Oreochromis niloticus: one gene and its partner. Each later gene encodes a partner of the first gene's protein in a complex. Links are inferred from orthologs where the notes say so. Each region holds a gene or a part of one and is shown on either strand. Other genes may lie near its edges.

What was found.
Region 2: the proteins of gins4 (region 1) and donson are in contact, whole or in part, in a cryo-EM structure (PDB 8Q6O), measured with the Xenopus laevis proteins. The link is inferred for Oreochromis niloticus from reciprocal best matches to the Homo sapiens genes GINS4 and DONSON. Residues at the interface, in NP_001084702.1 of Xenopus laevis: Leu19, Thr20, Pro21, Cys51, Glu54, Gln55, His58, Asn62, Arg65, Ala66, Lys67, Lys72, His76, Asn179, Leu181, Pro184, Thr186, Asp187, Glu188, Tyr192; in XP_041437004.1 of Xenopus laevis: Tyr8, Ser9, Pro10, Ser11, Phe12, Lys13, Pro15, Ser16, Ile18, Leu19, Ser22, Thr167, Arg168, Arg245, Arg469, Val471, Glu488, Thr490, Tyr518, Thr519.

What each region holds. Positions count from the first base shown.
Region 1 is NC_031977.2:13,060,693-13,071,193, forward strand, and holds the start of gins4 (DNA replication complex GINS protein SLD5), read left to right. Parts: upstream 1-6,323; 5' UTR 6,324-6,502; coding exon 6,503-6,601; intron 6,602-6,695; coding exon 6,696-6,782; intron 6,783-8,485; coding exon 8,486-8,599; intron 8,600-8,690; coding exon 8,691-8,788; intron 8,789-8,888; coding exon 8,889-8,977; intron 8,978-9,100; coding exon 9,101-9,191; intron 9,192-9,328; coding exon 9,329-9,425; 3' UTR 9,426-9,433; intron 9,434-9,768; 3' UTR 9,769-10,501. Other genes in the region: arid5a (AT-rich interactive domain-containing protein 5A), read left to right, coding at 1-47, 1,086-1,183, 1,277-1,436, 1,525-2,706. UniProt on the Homo sapiens protein: Required for correct functioning of the GINS complex, a complex that plays an essential role in the initiation of DNA replication, and progression of DNA replication forks.
Region 2 is NC_031986.2:3,397,409-3,407,932, reverse strand, and holds the start of donson (protein downstream neighbor of son homolog), read left to right. Parts: upstream 1-6,431; 5' UTR 6,432-6,704; coding exon 6,705-7,127; intron 7,128-7,257; coding exon 7,258-7,332; intron 7,333-7,460; coding exon 7,461-7,661; intron 7,662-9,820; coding exon 9,821-9,999; intron 10,000-10,524. UniProt on the Homo sapiens protein: Replisome component that maintains genome stability by protecting stalled or damaged replication forks.

The sequences.
Region 1 (10,501 bases):
TCTGGAAGATCTACAAAGCTGTTGATAAACTTGGAGGCTATGATTCAGTAAGTACTTTATTTAGCTTCTGTAGCAGATGCAAAAAAGGCTTCACTGCTGGCGGGCTTTTAAGTGGAAATGAGCTGTAGGTTTAGGTGCTAGAAATGCAGACAGCGACGCTGTCAACATATCGCTCCCCATGCTCTGTTTTCTTTGATGTTGACACTGTGGCATAAGTTGTGAGAGTGAAACTCATAATGAAATGGAACTAGATCGAGGCTCGTGTTGACCACTGTTGCTTTGTCCCAGGTTGTAAATACACCAATATGAGCCACCTACGTTAGCACAGGTTTAAAATTGAAAGTGTAATTTCAATACCGAAAACCAGCAGACATGGCATTTAAAGGGTAAGCAACCACTGCCCTTCCTCAAAAACATTTTTACAAATAGATCTATAAGTAAATATATTAGGGTCCAAGCACCTGAGGTACAAAAATGAATAAATTAATTCACACAAGCGCTGTCTGCTAGGTGTTACTCTGGGTCAAGTCTCTGACTTGGACCTTTTAATCACGCTGTTGCTGCCTTGGTATGTTACACAGAACTAATACAGGGGTGGACAATTAACTTTTCCAAGGGGCTCCATGATAAACTGGGACTTCTGTGGAGGGCCACACCTTCACCCGAGTCCTATTTTTAGCCCGCCCTTTCAAAGAATTAATATCGAGCAGAACTGACTCCACCTTATTGGTGAATTCCTTGTTTCTCAGTTTCTAATATACCCCCTTGGGAAAATGAATTGCCCGTGCACTAACAAGTGGCAGTGCACGCATACCTGCACAGATGGCACTCAAGCATGTTGTTAACTGTCCATCCTCTTGCCCAATTGTGATTTTAATTCTGTCTCCAAAAATAAATAAATACAAAATTGAGGATTTATGGTTTGAATGGACCAGTAGGTGGTTACATCCATCTTTTATATACAGGCTATGGTTTCATGATAGAAACAGCATAAAAATAGGATACCAGATACTGCCATCCTAGTGGGAACAGTTTAAATAGTGTAATGATTTTTAACTCTTATACACGTTCATTTTTGTCAACAGGTGACAGCACGACGCCTTTGGAAGAAAGTCTACGATGAGCTGGGAGGAAGCCCCGGTAGCACCAGTGCAGCTACTTGCACTCGCAGACATTATGAGAGGTGAGGATGACTCTGTTTCTCAAGAACCTTTTTTGGTTCAAACACTATAAGATCAGCTGAGACTCAATTTAAACTGTGCTGCTTATGTGACAGGCTGGTGCTTCCCTTTGAGAGGCATATAAAAGGAGAGGAAGACAAACCCCTGCCTCCAAGCAAACCACGAAAGCCATACAAGAGAAATTTGGATGGCAAGATGACTAAGGCAGAAGGGAAGAGGAAAAGAACTCATTCAGATAGAGACATTGATTCAGAGGTAACAAATTATAACTCTGACAAAACACCTAATAGAGAAGTGTTTGATATATTGTGTTCTAAAATCCCTCCTCCTCTATGCCTTTCAGTTACTCACCCAGAGAAGTCCAGAATCTTCCTGTCAAAGCGAAGCAGTAATTCATCCTCACTCTGCTCTCTGGGCTGACAGACACCACACTGAGCCAAACAGAGCAGCCAGTAATGTCTGCCCTTCTGTTTACCTTCTCCCCACATCCAACCCGTGGATTGCTCAATTACCGACTGCAGCCGGAGAGGTCATCTCTCCTCTGGAGAAAAAAAAGCGAATGGCTCAGGCTAGCCTCAATTTGCCGCCCAGTTCTCAGAGCGAGGATAAAGAAAGGCCCTCCGTCATCCACTGCTCCCAGTCTCCAGCCAGGGCTTCTTCCAGCAGAAACTGCAACTCCTCTGATGGCTCCCCACTCCCTTTATCCTCCTCCTCTTCCCGCAGCCCCTCCCCTTACTCTGTTTCATCAGAGGAAGGTCCAGCAGGAGGTGAAGATAAAGCTGCATCAAGCTCAGAAATGTCCCAAAATGCTTCTGTCAAAAATCCATCGGGCTGCAGTGAGGATAGCAAGACTGTTAGTAAGACACACAAAGAACCTAAAGGACAGAATAAGGATGTTTCTCAAATCGGCTCTGACTCGATTAAAAACCAAGTTAACTGGAAGTCCAACAAAGGAGCAAGTAAACATTACCCTCTTCCTTTCCAATTACCCACCTCATACTCTGTGAAATCTGTCTGGGCTCCAACATCTACCTCTAGCTTCACCAAAGTTATTCCAAAACCTGGCAATGTTCTACGACCCACTCCAGTTCGGCCAAGTTACAAAAACCACACGGGCAGGTTGCTTCAGCAAGACGACTCTCTGACTTGTGCAAAGAGGATGTCTATGTGGTCCTGTCAGACAGAGAAGAGAGAGAAATCCAGGACAATGCAACAGAAAGTTCCTCCCGCTCAGCAGAGCCTGTCCTATTCCGCCGCCACCCTGCCATTGCCCTGTGTCCTGTCAGGCTATGAGAAAACAGCCAGAGACTCCAGGCACCAACCTCCCCTGCACCCTTCATTTATCCCCAACAGAATGAGACTACCTCCCTCTCAGCTAATGTACCGCAATGTGCCAATGGGTCCACCTCCCTCTGCTCTCATCGGATCTGCTCTTTACTCTTACCCCTACCCCATTCCTCTGTTAAATCCCCAAACTGCATATGCCATTCCTGCCATCAATCCCATTTACCCTCAAAAGTTGTGAGAAAATCACAATGATAATCACAAAACAAGACAGTGGGTTGTTGCTCAGTGGAGTATTGTTGAGGCCTCCTTACATATGTTTTAAACATTAAAAATTTTCAAGTTATTCCTGCTGAGTGACTGTATGGATCCTGGGGATGAAGTCCGAGCAGTGATATCTACAAATATTTATAGGAGCCAATGAATCATGTTGAAGACTTGCTGTCCAAGTGCACCTGAGTGGTGTACTACTTAAAAAAAATTACAATATGCAATATGTCTTTAGCTGCTACACTAGGGTCAAATAATGTAATCTGTATAATATAAATTTTGGAAAAACAGATTACCATCGGTTATTTTCAGTTTTGATTTCTTTAGATTTTATGTAGTAAATGTTAATGATATGGTGTTATGATTATTAAAATGAATTTTATATTCAATTCAGGTCAAAATGAATGCGATATTAACCTCCTAGGACCTGCCGTCCACATATGTGGACATCACATTTTTGGTTATTTTGACCAAAATACTCAATTTTGCTTTACATGGGCCTGATATCCACTTACGAGGACATTATACTGCTACTGTTCTATCAAAATTTTAAATGAATATCCTCATTTGTGGCTCTCATTTTTCTTAAAAACAAAAATAAGGTAAAAAAAAAAAAATCTGGAAATTCTTTGTTTTTACATTCATTGGGCCCCAATATGCCCAAATATCAAAGAGAAATTAAAAATGCATGTCGTGGAACAGTTCGGGTCTTAGGAGGTTAAGGTTATCGTCAATTGCACAGTTTCAGTATTTTGTTTTTGAAAACAAAAAACTGTCTAATGTTTCTTAAAGTACTGTAGTTATGTCTGAAGATTATTATTATTTTGAATGAATGTTGGTCAGTGTATGATATTAAAAAAAAATTATCTATATTGTTCTCATGTTATTCAAGTGTATTTAAACAAAAGACTAAAGCAGCCAACAAATAAAGAGAAAACATGAAAACATCTTTGTTCTTTTTGTTCAGTTCAACAGTTCAATCACAGCACTGTAGGATGGTGAAAGATGAAAGCTTTAGCATTAGGCCCTCTCCTCAGCCTTCTTGATATGATGTTCTTCTGCTTCCCTGGCCGCTGTATCTGTGGGGATGCTGTTCGCTCTTTGTCGTAGCGTCCTGATGACACACAGTTTGTGCTCCAGTGAGTGATGAGAGTCAAACCTTAAATACTTTACGTTACCCATCATTTTTTTAAATGTCCCCCATTACTGATGGAAATCTCACAGTCTAAGAAGGCTGTCATTTTTCATATCCTCCCTGGTGAACTTGACGTGTTTCTCCACCGAGTTAATGTGATCAGTGAATTGTGGTACGTCCTGAGATTTGATTTTCAACCAGGTGTCATCCACATACCTGTACCAACGACTTGGGCGTGTTCCAGGGTAGGATAACAGAGCCCTGTTTTCCACTTCTTCCATGTACAAGTTGGCCACAATGGGTGAAACTGGGGAACCTATGGCACACCCATGTTTCTGCCTGACCCTTGTATGTGAAATAGGTGGAATGAAGACACAGTTCCAAAAGCAAACACACTTGGGCGGTGCTGAGAGTGGACCTGTTGCTGAGGTTGGGGTCATCCTGTAATCTCTTACAAACTACATCCACTGCTTCAGGGACTCGAACACAAGTGAAGAGAAACATAACATCATATGAGACCATTGTTTCATCTGCCTCCATAATGACATCTCTAAGCTTCTCAACAAAATTCAAAGTGTTCTGGATGTAGCGCTTAGAGCTGCCTACCAACGGGTTGAGGATCGAAGCCAGAAACTTTGAGATGTTATACGTGACTGAGTTGATCATGCAGACAATTGGTCTAAAAGGTACGCCCTTTTTTTGTATCTTCGGTAAACCATACAGACTTGGTGTAGCTTCCCCTGGGTGTAGCCTGTGGTATGAGGTCTGGTCAGCAGCATTGTCTTAATCTAAGTGCTTGACACATTCTATGACCCTTTTCCTGTAACCACTACCTGTGTCTCGATTCAGAGCCTCATAAGTATTTTTGTCAGTGAGCAGTGACAAATTCTTCTCAATATAGTCTTTCTGTTATTTGTGTTTGCTGATGTGCATTAAGGAAACTGCAGCTGTCTGAGGCATGTGGTGAGAGCTGCAACCTTGCAGGTCTGATGTAGTCCAGATAAGTTCAAAGGATGCTGATAGCGTGCAACACTGAACATCACTATGGTGGCTGCAGTGCAGGGAAAAAATATGAAAGAACTTTGAAGCAAGTGCAATGAGGAGTGACGAGAAGGAGCAAATAGGACAAATGAGATACTGCAGTAAGGCTGTCTGAAAGAGCTGCAATGAGTGAAGCAGATGATCTCTGAATTCACACTAATGAAACTGCAGATTAAGAGCCCAGATAACATGTAGATCTAGCTCCCAGATTGGATTTTGAAGACAGAAACCATCTCTACTTTTAAGATTAGGTTTAAAACTTTCATTTTTTGATAAAGTATATAGTTAGGGCTGGATCAGGTGACCCTGAACCCTCCCTTAGTTAAACTGCAATAGGCCTAAGCTGCTGGGGGGCTTCCCATGATGCAATGAGCATTTCTTCTTAACTCAACTCTATTCACACTCTGTGTGTTTATATGCTGCTTTGTATTTAATCATTAGTTATTTTTAATCTCTGGCTCTTTTCCGCAGTGTCGTTTTTGCTTCCTCCCTCCCCACTCATCCCCGACCACTCACGGCACGGCCTCCCTGAGCCTGGTTCTGCCTGGGGTTTCTTCCCATTAAAAGGGAGCCGCTTGCTCATAATGATTCATCTGATTGTTTGAGTTTCTTTTTATTGGTTTAGAGTCTTTGCTTTACAATACAAAGCACCTTTACTGTTTACTGGCAACTGTTGTTTTGGCAATTAAATTTTATCAAATTGAATGACATGCTGACTTAGGAAATCAAACTGACTTCTACGGCATCAGTTATTTCTTTGTGTGTTTGTAATAATCACAATCTTTTGGTATTTCTTGAGTGAATATGCCGTACCCTGTGCTGTCACTGTCTTTTATATAGTGTCTATTATATTATGTCTATTAGTGGTATAGGAAACATTTCTATGAGGTTTTTCTAGATCATAATTAATGCTTGAGTTATATATTTGATAGTATTAGCAGTAATTATCTGTAAATATATAAAATATATAATAAATCTATATAAAGATATCTCTCGCAATATAAGCACAATAACATAACCACTAATTATGATGCGTGAAAACGCCATAGAAATGCTTCTCCCACCACTTTCTACCACTCTAGCATTACTTACAACAATCTTCAGCAACATGCAATATTTTGAGTGTATTGCTCGTATTCACAGCACGTGTTATATAGATTAGATTCCCTCAGTTTTGTATTTCAGGAAAAACCGGGCTCATTGAACTTTTAAAGTTTGCGCTCCTGTAGCAGAAAATCCTCAACATCCCCGATCAATATCCTTCCTGAATGTCTAGAAACTAATTTACTGTCTTTTATTGAATGCTCCGTCCAATTATTAATAAAAACTATACTAAGCCTACGAGAAGGCTTGCCTGACAAGCTAAACTCAGGTAAATGGGCACATTGTAAATCTCGCGAGAAGAATCCCAGTGGCGCGAATAAACAACGAGTTTTTCCGCTAACTTGTGGCTGCTGTGACAGTAGTAGTCGCATTGGTACATTTTCCCTCATATTATTCAGTTTTAATTGCTCTGTTTTTATTATTAATTTATTTTTAATTCAAGAGATATTCTGCGTTTTGGTGAAACGTTGTATTTTTACTGAAAACCATGTCGGACGCTTTGTCTGATGACGGCAGCGACTTCAACCAGGATGACACCCAGGAGGATGTTATGACCCCGGCGGAGCTGATCGCTAAACTGGAAGAAGTAGGCCAGATTATTCCCCTGACGTGCAGACTCTTCACCTCTATTAGATATTCAGCACCGTCTTCACTGTTGTGTCCGTGTGTGTCGCCCACAGGCTTGGCTAAATGAGAAGTTCTCACCGGAGCTGCTGGAGAACAAATCAGAGGTGGTGGAGTGTGTGATGGAGCAGCTGACTCATATGGTAAACTACCCGGGGAATACCTCCTGCGGTGTGGGTTGTTTCTAATGTTCAGCAGCATGCATGGTTATAGTTGAGTTTCTGAATTGCAAAACAGCAACTGAAACGCGAAGGACTGCAACCTATGAGAATGTGCATGACTGATTCAAATGCAGCAGAGGGAAAACTATATACAGTACTGTGCAAAAGTCTCGAGCCACCTCTCACTTCTTTATGTTTTGCTATGATGTAGTGAAATTGACATGCAGAATGTAAGGCAAAAGAGTTGGTACAATTCTAATGAGCTTGAAAGTCCATATTCCGTATGACCACCTTTATGTTATACACAGCCTGAACTCTCTCGGGCAAGCTTTCTTGTAATTTCTTTAAGTAATCTTCAGGAATTGTTCTCCAGACTTCTTAAAGGACATTAAAAGCTCTTTGATGTTGGCTGCCTTTTGTTCTGTTCTCTGTCAACATGATCCCACACTGCTTCAATAATGTCGAGGCCAATCCATGACTGATAGTGTTCCACTGTGTGGGGTTTTTTTTTTTGTTTTTGTTTTTTATGTTTGGGGGGTTTTTTTTGTTTTTTTTCCCCATCCAGGTATGCTTTTACTGCATTGGCAGTGTGTTAGGGATCATTGCCATGCTGAAAAATGACTTGTTCAGAAAAGAACCTGTCCAGTTTGCACAATTTTATTTAATGGCACACATGCTGAGATATACCAAGCTGATTCTCAATGGTTAGTAGCTCAGTGAGAATCATCTTGTTGGTGTAGAAATATAATTTCATACCTGTAAAATGTTTTTTTTCTTTGGCATTTTTAATAGATTCAACTAAAGGATTGAAAACAAAGAATGTGTTTTTTGCTACAGGCTCCCAGTAGCAAAGTCCCTAAAGTAACACGTTAAAATAGCTTCTTTGCTAAGTTGTCTGTTGTTTTTGTAGACGCATTACTGGCTTTTCCTTCGAATTCGGTACCTTTTCGTGCTCGGATGATTCATAGGTCAATGTTAAGTGTCTTAACAAACAACAAACAAAAGTAGGTGCATTCCACCTCTTCTAAACTGTGAATTTTGCTTTTTTTTAACCCATAAAAAGCAAAGGTTTGTAGAAAAATACCCATTACAATTCACTAGAGCTCAAAATGCCACTTTATACACACAAATTAATTTATTTTTCAGTTGGAGTTTAAAGAAAGTAATTTACTTTTCAGTGGGTCAAAAAACATCATCAAATGTTCAAAATATAGAAGTTGAATTCGGGAATATCTGAGATTTCTGCTTTTTGTTCATTTACTTGAATTATTACAAAAATGTTTTAATTTCTTCTGTCACCTGACAGATCAGCACTTCATTGCTGGTTTTCTTATGATTTAGTTTTATTAGTATGGATAAATTGATCTATAGGAAGACCTGCAATTGATATCAAGACTTTGATGGTCATGTCAAATGTAATGTGGTGGCTTCAAAATAAAATCTCAAACAATTCAGGGCAATGTGGTTTGCTCTGTGGCAAACTACTATCTAAAGCTGCTGCCTGTCAGTAGGACCTTGATTACATTACTATACATCCAGCTGTGGAGATTCATTCAGTTCAGATGATTAGGATGGTATTAACACTGTGATATTCAAACATATCCCAGGGCTGTTGCTTTTCTGGTCATTCTGAGTAGACCTGAATAAAAGGACCCTTTAATTTCTGACAGTTTTGTCACCAACAGGAGTCCAACTTGCAGCGGGTGAAGAAAGGCGATGCAAAGGCCAGCATCCATCGCATGGAAATAGACAGGATCCGCTACGTTCTCAGCAGCTACCTGCGCTCTCGTCTGCAGAAGGTCGGTTGGGTCAGCGCCACAAAACTGAGTTTTGTCTCACTTGGTGGCTGTTGGTGACATATGCCTCCCCTTTTGTGCTGTTTATGTCTAGATTGAAAAGTATTTCCCACATGTCTTGGAGAGAGAGAAGTCTCGGGGTGAGGGCGAGCCGTCTCTGCTTTCGCCTGAGGAGTTTGCTTTTGCCAAAGAGTGAGTGTGCTGGAATAAAGTCGTTTAAACCGCTGCGGTTCTTGCAACACTTGGGGTTTTTAAAAAAAAAAAATCACACGCCAACACATCTGGCTTGCAGGTATTATGCCAACACTGAAAGCTACCTAAAGGCTGTAGCACTGAAGCGCATGCCATCCAACTTACAGACTGTGGATATGATCAAAGCAGGTAAGGTGTCATTCTGTGTCTAAAATGGTGATACTATTAGCCCATGTAGACAGATGGTGACGTTTGCTGTGACATTTTCACTGACCATTGCACTCGTTTCACCACTGTGTATCCTAATGTTAGTGCCTGAGCCCTGCCTGGACTCCTTTGTGTTTCTGCGAGTGAAAGAGAGACAGGAAAACATCCTGGTAGAGCCTGAAACGGAGGATCAGAGGTTTGTTTGTCAATATTTCTCTTTATGTGCTATTATTTAGGCATCCAGTAGGTGGCAGTGTTGCCTTCTTGCATTCACTAACCTTTTTCTGTATAGATACTAAACTGATAAAATCTCCACTGTGTCTCTTCTATCAGAGAGTATGTCGTGGATCTCGACGAGGGCTCTCAGCACCTAATGCGTTATCGAACTATAGCTCCACTTGTGTCAAGCGGAGCTGTGCAGTTGATATGAATGAAAAGGTCAGTACCAGCGAGCCTTGACTGAGCCATCTTTGTCATTAACTCAATACTGCCCTCACACCCTCTTCTACAGGCATCTAATAATTCATTTCTGCAGCTCTTACATAAGCCGTGGCTTTGCGGTGACATCTGGATTTATTTTTAGCGCTTACTTTTTTCTCTTTCCTTTTTTCCCTTTTTGAGTGTTCATTGTCTCTTGGCAACAGATAATAAAAAACCAACATTGAAATTTTAAAGCACCATGATGTGTTTACAACAAATTTTAGTTGTCTTCTCTAAACTAAACTACAGTTAACAGTCAAGTGCAATTAATATTGGTCTTTTATATGTTGCAGGTTGCTTATTACTGTGGATCCAGGAGACATTCCTGAAATAAAGACTGCGCAGAGATCACATCAGGAAGCATGCCCTTCATCCTCACCTTTCATCCAGAATAAGGACTGACTTTTAGGATGTAAATATAGGGACGTTTGTAGCACCATGGCACCAGAATTTAATTCTGTGGGGGTGGGGGGACACAATCGAGGTCACTGCCAGCGGGAACTAAAAGCTGCGGATGAACCCTGTTTACTAAACTAGGTTTTTGCAGCGCTGAGTTTGTATTTTTGGATCTTTTTAATCATGTCATGATATATGCTTTGTTGTGTAGTACGTTGGTGTGCGTGTGACTGATAAAGACAGCTCTGTCTAATCTGTTTATTCATTACTCCTCATGTTGCTCCATCCAAATGATTCATGTTATTGGATGATTTCTCAGCTGCTCGATAACCGGATGCATCAGATGACCCGACGGTGAAATTTCATCAGTTCACTTGGCATCATAACGCCTTCCATCCCGAGGTGCTCATGCTAGATGTGCATGCATCTTTGCAAGATCAGGGTTTGTTTGCTGTGATTTAAGGACATTCACACTTGAATTAACATGCTTTAATGTCATAGATTATCCTGTTAATGCTCATGTAGCTGTTGTACATCGTGACATTATTCTTTTTCACATGTTGAAAGTTTCCTTTTTGACTTTGCTTTAAACTTTAACCTAAAAGATGTTATGATAGCATTGTTATGTAA
Region 2 (10,524 bases), on another chromosome or scaffold:
CCTGTAGATGTCCTGGAGGGAGGGAAGCTCACCTCCAATTATCCGTTCAGCACACCGCACTACTCTCTGGAGAGCTTTGCGGTTGTAAGCGGTGCTGTTGCCGTACCAGGTGGTGATGCATCCAGTGAGGATGCTCTCAATGGCACAGCGATAGAAGGTCCTGAGGATGCGGGGGCTCATGCAGAATCTTTTCGGTCTCCTGAGAAAGAAGAGGCGCTGCTGCGCCTTCTTCACTGTTTTGTTTATGTGTACTGACCACGTGAGATCCTCGGCCAGATGTACACCAAGGAAGCAGAAGCTGCTCACTCTCTCCACAGCGGCGCCGTTGATGGTGATGGGGGTGTGTACTTCCCTGCACCTCCGGAAGTCCACTATCAACTCCTTTGTCTTTGCGACGTTGAGGGTGAGATGGTTGTCTTGACACCAGTGGGTCAGGGCGCTGACCTCCTCCCTGTAGGCCGTCTCATCACCGTTGGTGATAAGACCCACCACTGTAGTGTCGTCCGCAAACTTCACAATGATGTTGGAGTTGTTAGTGGCCGTGCAGTCGTAGGTGTAGAGTGAGTACAGGAGAGGGCTCAGTACACACCCCTGTGGAGCACCAGTGTTCAGTGTGATGGGGGATGAGGTGATGCTGCCCAGTCTGACCACTTGGCGTCTGTCAGACAGGAAGTTAAGGATCCAGCTGCAGAGGGAGCTGCTCAGTCCTAGATCCTGCATTTTCCTGTCCAGCTTCGAGGGAACGATGGTGTTGAATGCTGAGCTGTAATCTACAAACAGCATTCTCACATACGTGTCTCTCTTCTCCAGGTGTGACAGGGCAGCATGGAGTGTCAAGGCTATGGCATCATCAGTGGACCTGTTGTGGCGGTATGCGAACTGTAGAGGGTCCAGTGAGTCGGGTAGTGAAGAGCAAACGAAGTCCCTGACCAGCTTCTCGAAGCATTTGCTGACGATGGGGGTCAGGGCCAGTCGTTCAATGAGGAGATGGTGGAGGATTTGGGTACAGGGACGATGGTGGCCATTTTGAAGCAGGCTGGGACTACAGACAGAGAGTGGGAAAGGTTGAAGATGTGTGTAAACACTCCAGCCAGCTGAGCCGCGCATGACTTGAGGACGCAGCCGGGAATCCCGTCCGGACCAGTAGCTTTGCGTGCGTTCACCCTCCTGAAGCACTTCCGCACATCCTCCTCAGACACAGTGTGCGCGCTGACGTCATCCGCGGTGCGCACACTGTCCGGTCTCATGGTGTTCGCTGTGTCGAATCTAGCGTAGAATATGTTTAGATCCTCACACAGTATTTATTATACAAGTGTGAGTATGAACTTGGTATAGTTTCCTTTTGGCATGATAACCATGGGTGAATCAAAATGAAAGTACTGAGGAAAACTCTGGTCTGTGTACTCTGGTGATGCCTGAGTGAAAGTGTGATAGTCCTGTGGTTTATAGTGAAGACTCAGGGGTGAACTAACAGCCCTGTTTTACTGCCAACAGTGGGACAAACTAACACTGCTGGAATGGCATCTTATTTTCATGTACTGGACATTTAAAATATGTTGTATTAAAAGTCTCTTTAGATATAAAATATGCTGTGAAAGAGGATCCTCTGCACTCCCATGGAAATCTTACATATTCATACTCTTTTAAGCTTTAACAAATATTTTTAAATAGATCTTTTTTTATATATTAATATATTTAGTATGTGATCTCCTCTTTGGAGACCTTTACTTTTACTTACTTAGACTTAGGTCCTCCTGCGCCGTTCAACGCATTGGGCGGCAAGCGTCCACCAACATATTCGATCGGCTGTGGCTGCTTCGGCCTCATCCCATGCAATGTCTATGGTGCGTAAGTCATCGATGAAGGTCCTCCGCCATGTTGTACGGGGGTGGCCTGGTTTGCATCTTCCATGGGGTGGGTTCCATGTGATGGCAATCTTGGGCAGTCGATGTGGGGGTTGACGTAGAACATGACCTCCAAAGCGCACACGCCACTCAGTCACAATGTCCTGCAGGGGACGTGTGGCAGTTCGATGGTGTACTTCTTCGTTGGTGACATGGTCCCAGTAGGAGACCCCCAGGATACGTCGTAGCCATTGCTGCTGGGCCACATGGAGTCTTTTTGTGATTCTGGCTGATGTTTTCCACGTCTCACAAGTGTAGACTGCGGTAGGTATAACGATGGAGTTGACCAGGCGAATCTTTGTCGCCAGAACGATCTTTGGGGTCAACCAGATCGGCCGGAGCCGCTGAAAGACCGCACCTGCTTTTACAATTCGACACACAACATCATGCTCAGCATCTCCATTACTTGCCAGGATGCTGTCCAGGTAGGTGAATTGATTCACCTCCTCCAGTGGTTGCAGTCCTACCGTAATGGAGTCCTGTGTTGTCACGTAACCTATCCTCATGACCTTGGTCTTGTTTCCACTGATCCATAAGCTTGCTTTGGGTGCCTCTTGCGCCAAGCATGATGTCATAGTAGTCATGTTTTTCCGGACGTCAGCCACCAAAGCAATGTCGTCTGCAAAGTCGAGGTCCTTCAGGTGTGCTGGTGGATGCCAAGGTATCCCAAAGGCATCTTGGTCCATGGCACTCCGCATAACAAAGTCAATGGCAAGAAGGATGAGGAAGGGAGAGAGGATACACCCTTGCCTCACACCGGTCTCAATGTTGAAGAAATTCGTGAAGCCACCCTCTGTGCGGACGCAGCAACTGGAGTGAAGGTAGAGAATTTGGAGTTTGGAGACCAGAACTCTGTATTTCTGCACAAAATCCTCAGTATGGAAGTCCTTCACAATCAAAAAGACGTTTCACCAGTAAAATATTGTTGACTTGTTTCTGTATGTGATATTGACAGTTCCATATAAAATATTTGCGAGGACAGTAGTTAGTCAGTAGTAGGAAGGACCAACCTGTTTATGAAAGGTCAGGGCACATTCATAAAACATTAACACCACCTACTTTTTTAAATAGGAAGTTTAGGATAAAAATCCACGTATTATCTTTCAGAAACATTTTGATCCAATAATTTTGATAATCTGATTAAATGAAGGGAAAAAATGTTGTGGAGCTTATTTCTTCGCTTAACACCACTTTGACATAAAGAGGAAGTCTTTAGCCAGCTAGGAGCTACATTTCATTCGAACATATAAAATCACCAGGTCTATGTTATCATCCATCAAGCTTTTGTCCTCCACTGGGATCAAAACTCCCAAATATTTAACAATATTTTTAACTAGGATATTTCTGTATTAGCAATGTTTTTTAAAGCAAGAATTTCAAAATTATTTAAATTAAGGTTTAAGCCTGATTTGTGTCACTGTGTTTGAGAGAGTGGAAAAGCACTATCCATATCAGTCCATTTACCATTAATACAAGCACTTTTTTCTTATATTTACATGCTTTTTATCTAACAGTCACACACATTTGTACTCAAATGGATGCTTCAGAGAGCAGCTTGGGGTTATTTATGCAAACAGGGATCAAACCACTAAGGTGACCCACTCTACCTCCTGAGCTACAGTCACCCCAGTGACAGTGACTTGTGTACATTTAAAGATAATGCAACTAAATTTATCGTGGATTATTGAAAGGTTTAGATTTTGGCTTACCGCTAAGAAGAGATGGGACGGCCATGATAAAATTCCCCTCTTAATCTGAGTGATGGCAGTTTCACTGATGATAAGGTCTTTATTGCTTTGATTAAAAAAAAGTTATCAAATTTTAAAAAATTTAGGGTTAAAGATAAAATTGTGGAGAACTGTAGAGAATAAAGAATAAAATCAGGTGACTGCCAACAAGCCATTATTTGTAGTTAACTAGCTCCAAAAACAGGTGAATATTATTGAGATATGAATGCCACTCATGAATCCACAGTGGGATTCCTGAATTCTTTTATTTGGATCAGTGTTTCAACGCTTTGCTAATATGAAAATCGTCATTTTATAATCATTGTTGAGTGTAATTGGTCTCCAGTTATCAAAACATAAAGGATCTTTGTTGGTTTGGGGAATTAAAGGGAGATGTCCTTGCTTTAATGACGGGGACAGTTCTTCTTTTACAGATCGCTTCATTAAAGAGAGCAGCTATACATTTAATTGGTAAATTGACAGCAGAAATATCATTATTTTTTCTATTTTTGAGCTCTTTTTATGTGCTTATGCAATGGCTATCTTTCTCATTTAAAACCTTAGAAATTCCCAGTATTTTCCACATTCATCACTTGTTGAGGCCAAATTCCAGGACTTTCCTATAAGATCCTTTATATCTGATATGAGCTGTTCGCTCTTCAGAAGTGAGCTAGTCTGAGCCTAACCCCTTCTATTGTGCCACTTACTGATATTTGGTGTCTGTGTCACAATTTTGTGGTCTTTCAAAATAGCAGGAAAAATTTCTGCCTCCTTTATATTCAGTTCAAGCTCTGCTTAAATCAACCAAAACGTGATTATAGACAGAGTACTAGAATCTTTGGATGTAAGCTGTTTCCACAGCGCTGCTCTGACCACTCTCTTTCTCACCAAAATGAAGCTTCTTCTCTTTCAGGAAGGAACTGTTGTTTGCTCTCTTTCAGATGTTTCTCACAGAGCAGAGGATGATGATTGCACATGGCTCGTCTGCCCAGCGTGTGCGTCACATCAATCATTGCCTTCTGTCTGAGCTCGGTAGCAGCTTTCTGACAGAATCAGGATACTTTTTGTCTCACGTCCTGTTGTCTTGTTCATTCTCATCGTACAGATGCAGACGCCATCATTTTTTGTAGCACTGTGCTTCAGATAATCTGTTACTGATATCACTTTGCTGTTTTTGAATATTTTCTCAAGAGCTTGTTTTTCTCTTTTGTTAATGCCATTAATTTCTTCATAAACAAACTAGTCATGTTTAAGCTTTTCTATCATATTGGGACCATGTTTTCTAGCTTGTTTGCCTTGTTTACCTCGATTGTGAGAACACTGATTATATTAGTCTGCAGCTCGTGAAGGGACAGGGCATTGGTGTTCCTCTTTTTGACCCCTGGCCTATTTTGAAATTCTAACCAGGAAGAAGGAAACGGGTTAAACTGGACCACAACAGTAAAATCTAAGAAAATAAGATGTATTTAATTTTATATGCCATGGGACAGATTTACTAAGTGAGGCAAATTATTGTGATGTCACAACTGCAGTGTGGAGCAATTTATAAACAATTGGTGCAGTAAAAGCACTTCAGTAAGAGCAGTGCAAAATACTAGCTCAAAAATCCAGTGTAAGCTCATGACTGGACCTGGAACTGGGGCTTGCTGAGCCTTGGCCCCTTTGGGACATGGTCATGGAGGGAGTGGTTCCCTCTTCCTACCGCTTTCCGCTGGATGATGCTGCCCCAACCTGGGATGCAGGGAGGGGCAGCATCCAAGGGAGGGATCAACAGCACGTGGCTGGATGTTCTGGTGTGGTTGTTGAGCCGCTCCCTTGCTGGTATGGGATGGCTTGGACCTCTTCCTTGTTAGGGGGCTCTGGCTCAGGTGCTGGCCAATTCTTGGACGCCTGGAGCCCTGGGACCCTGTTCTCGGCTCGTGCCACTATCCTTTTATTATATTTTCCCTTATTTCTTCCCTCCTTCTCCCTTTTATTTCTCCTCTTGACTGTCCTGCCTTAGACGTTGTCATACTATACCACACATAATGTAATAACTGAAACAACACAAAAAGAAACGAATAAATAAACTGATAAAAGATACACGTGAACAAGAGGAGCCTATAGCGAATTTATACAGCTGATCTTGAAAAGGAGAACTATACTCACTCGAGAGGATGATACAACCATGTTGTTCCCTCTATCTGCAGCTGAGCACTGGCTGGCTTTTCCCCACAGAAGAGTGTCCAGCATGTAACAACAGATTATTTAAACCATATACTAACCTTTACACGCTACTGTATAGTGTCTGCAATGATAAATCACGTTTTCAAGTTTGTTTGTTTTTAAAAAAAAAAAAAAATCTACTTCATCTGAAAACAAAATGCAGGTATACAATGGAAGCCCAAATGTCCCAGTTTAACACTGGAACTTGAAAGCAGCTTACATTTGTAGATCTATGCGAAGCTGGCGACGTTAAATTTGTCCCCTCTAAGTCCCGCCGGTACTCGTCACTGTCATGATATATAGCCGCTGCAGTATTCTCCTGGATGATAGGCGTCGCCACTAAGACAATATCGCCACATAAGCGCTGACATAGGAAGAGAAGAAGTCAAAGCCGGAAGTCAAGACTTTGACTAGTGTTTTTCTGAAAAGTTCTTTCTACAAACCCTCAAGTTTCCAAACTGTTCCAACATCTCCTTCTGTATATGTCTCTGATTATTATTAAATTGTTAATTTAAATTATACAATTCAAATGCAGTAAAACCCGATACGACGTCACATCCTGACGTACCATAATGTCCAAAGTTCCCGATGAGTAAAGGCTCCAACAGACACAATAATTGCACTTAACTCTGTAGATTATTATGTATTTATTTTTAACGTGTCACAAAAACAAACGTGAACAAATGACGTCCGTTTAGCTCCGACCTCTTCACAGCCATTAACACGCGGGGACTCTTTACGTCAGCACGCTACGCGCCAAATTTGTACAGCGCAGAAAGCGCAAAACAAAAACAGCCGCGGGTCCTGCCCTTTCTAAAGGAAACAGCGCTAAAAGTGGATTGTTTGGGGCAAACTGCATCTCCACAGGATGTCGGAACACTTTGGATACTCACCCAGCTTCAAGCGGCCTGCGGAAATTTTGCGAATGAGGCGCAAAAGAGCCCGAAGCGAAGCCGGGGCCGGGTCCACAGACAGCCCCGAACAAAGCGGCTCATCTCCGACGTGCGTACGGACTTTCTCCCCCGAACCGCTCTCCGGCGCCCAGAACCATTTCGGGGTTGGAATAAAACGCAGGAACCCGTTCGCAAAAATAGAAAACACTTACAGTCCTAAGAAGAAACGTCTAACTTTTAACGACGCCAGCTGTAACACCGAAAACTCCGATAGCTCCGGGATCGCAAACAATGAGAGAGATGAAGAATCATCGAAGAGAGAAGGCACGCTAGATCTGGCTCTCAGCTTCAGGCTCGATGAGGCACAAGAACAGGAATACCGACAAGCTTCCAGCCAGGTTGGTCTCGGTCCTTTGCACTGTCGTCAGGAAGCTCCTGTTTTTATGTGGTAGAGATGTAAACATGAGGGGAGAAACTATAGGACCCCCTCTTAAACGCCTTACCTTTCTTGTCTGTGTCCTGCTGTAGAAATCTGGATCTCTGTCTGAGAGTGATGTGTTGTTGGAAGAAGAACCGGAGGATATTAAAAACCCACTGCTGAAGGTGGGAATTTATTCTGTGTGTTTTTTAAATGCTGAATGACATATCTGTGAGAATTGTCACTTTTTCCCAGGTTTTCTGTTGTGCAGTGTATAACCGTGTATTCAAAGGATTCCCCTCTGTCCTTCTAGAGCCCCCAAGCCACTGCTCCCACTGCCGTAGCAGCTCCTGTGTGCACCCAGTATCCAGCAGACTGGAGCCTAAAGACTCGTCTCCTCCTGACCTCTCCGGTCTCCCTTTCATGGGCAGAGCAGCTCAAGGCTCAGGAAGAAGCTCAGGGGCTCAGCCAGCACTGCAGGGCACAGTTCAGTCCCCTGCCACACAGTCCACAGGTAGGCTCATTGCATACATGTGGAAGATGGACAGGCGCACAATAGTCACTGTGCATTTATATGTTGCTATGGAGACGCTAGTGACACCAGTTACAGCTCTCCAAATAAATATTTTTTTCAGCACTTGTTGAGCCCTCAAAATTTCACGACTTTTCGATTTTAGACCCACTTCAGATGTTTAAATCTAAAATCTTGTTTTTTATTCAGCCAGATTTTTTTTTCTGTAACCAAATTAAAAATGATATCACAGAATAGCAGAGATGATCAGTGTGACAGTTTCCATGCAAACCTGGATCAGTTTGATGATTCTGAGTCTCAGTCTAAAACAAAGATACGCTTCTTAATAATTATTATTTATAATAACAATGAAAATTGCAGGTCCCTACTGTCATTAGTAGGGATTTTGTATATATGAGCTTCTTTAGCCAGTAGGCGTGGATGATGTCAGGGCCAGATGCTGCCCAACGCTTCATGCTTGAGACTCTTTCATGGATGTCTGCCGCTGTGATGCTTACTGGATCCCGTTCAGGGAGGCTGCTGTGGTTCGCCCGTAGATCCACTAAACACTGAGCATTGCTGTCATGGGTTGTGTGCTTCTGCTGTATACTCTTCCGATATTGCTCCATCTCCAGCACCTCACATCTCAGATGATTTGATTTTCATGGCTTCGATGTCTCAGGTGTACCTCTTCAAGCTGCTAGCCAAGGCTGTGAGTCTTTGCTTGGCAGTTTCCAAGGCCTCAGGTGTGACCAGCTTGCTGTACTTCTTAGACATCCCTTTCTTCATCACACCTTTCTGCAGCTCCAATACTTCCCTCTATGCTGCCTTGATCTTGGCCTCTAGTTTCCTTCTCCATGGAGGGTACTGCTCCTTGTGGGTGCTCATCTTGTTCCCAAACATCTCACTGATCACTGCTGTTGTGGGGTAGATCAGTTGGTTGGTTTCATTGATGACCACAGTGGTGATTGTCTGTAATGTTGCATTCACATCGCACGGGGGCTGCACGGCCTAAAGTCCTTTCTTTTTCTCAAAAATCGACGGTATGCCTTATGTATGAATTCTGGTTGTGCTTACTGACTGCGAACCGATTTTATGTGATACACAGCGCTCAGCAATCTGTCAAAAAATGTTTTAGTGCGACTTTGCTAAGCTACGGCGCTGCACCGCTTGATGGATTGTCGGAGGATTACAGCTACCGTAGTCAGGAGCCTCGCGGAGTGATACGTACTGTGCTTCAACGTAATATTACCGTATTGTGTGTGTATAAGGACCATAAATGGCTCCTGTTCAGAGACATGGTTACAAAGAGGATTTCAAACTCCAGGCTGTCAGTCACGCAGTAGAAGTTGGGAACAGAGCAGCTGTGAAATCTGTCTATGTTATTATGCTCAGCGTCTGTTAGTTTACATTTTGACTGCACAGTTGTGAGCTCTTTGTTATGCACAAAAACAACAGTTTTATTTTATTTCTGGAGTAATATTATTATTGAAGTAGTAATTTTTTCATGTACATCTATGCTGTATGTTAAAAAAGTGTCTGTGTGAGATCTGGGACACAGCTTTCACTTAGAACTCTCTTTTTGTTCTTACTTTATGGCTTTAAAAAAATATCGAGATATATATTTCGTCATCCAGCTAAAGAATATCGAGAAATGAATTTTGGGTCATATCGCCCAGCTCTACTTCACATAGTCTTCGTAATCAGACCTCTCAGGTCAGCTGCTCTTTCAAATCTCTAGTTGCAATAGCAGTTGCTTCTTCTGCATGTTGGAACACTGAGCTACTAGTTATTTCACCATTAGGTTTTCATACTTGTGCTTATCACACAAAATGCATGTGTGTATTTGTTATTAGTCAATACCAGATGACAATAAAAGGGAAACAATGGATGGGTTGGTCCTGTGCGTCAGCTTAAGAGCACCAGAGTGAACAAATCAGCTCCAGAAGTATAGAACTAAGTACACATGTGTAAAATCTGTAACATATTGTGTCGTTAAATAGTCTCGCCTGTTACTGTTATTGTTACTGTACTGGAGCAACTGTAACCCACATGATTTCCTTAAGTATTAATAAAGTATGCTGATCCCGACAGCTCTTAGTTTGTCTTGGGTTCTTCAGTAGCTTGTTCCTCAGCCCGACCTGTCTCTGTGCCTGCTATAGGATCCCAGGTCCTGCTCAGAGCTACGTTGTGCCTTCCAGCAAAGCCTGGTCTACTGGCAGCATCCCTCCATACCCTGGCTGTCCCTGTTCCCTAGGATCAACGCTGAAAGGAGCTTCTTTGGCAAGAGCGCCCCCTGGGCTCATGATGCAACGCTACAGCAGAGTCTCATGACAGAATGGTGAGGCTGATAGGGTGACAAGGTTTAACTGCAATGATTTCATTTTTCTCTCTGTCCTGATTTTAAATGAATCAAGATGTGATTGAATCACAGACTTTCAGCTTTAACTCGACGGATTTTAATAAAAATATTGTTTGTTTAGGAATTACAGTCATTTTTATGACTGACAGGTGGTTTCACTGATATGTCCTATTGATAAATGAATCATTAAAAAAAAAACCTGAACTTGATTCTAAGATTTGAGATCTTTACACTGGAGGTCTGAAGAGATGTAGGTGAAAGAGGTCATTGTTAGGCTGAGTAACCCCAATATATCTGTCAGAGAGAGAAGGAAGTTACGACCTCCTTAGACTGTGTTTTAGTTTCAGGGACTTTTTTTTCCAGCGAGTTATCAGCTCTGTCACAGTTAGCTAACACAAACGCAGTCTGTTAGCAGCAACCAGCTAACCATCGGACCCAGTGACATCACGTTCTGTACTAGCACTAAACATGTTTAAACACTTCTTTCCTAAATCCAGCTTCACA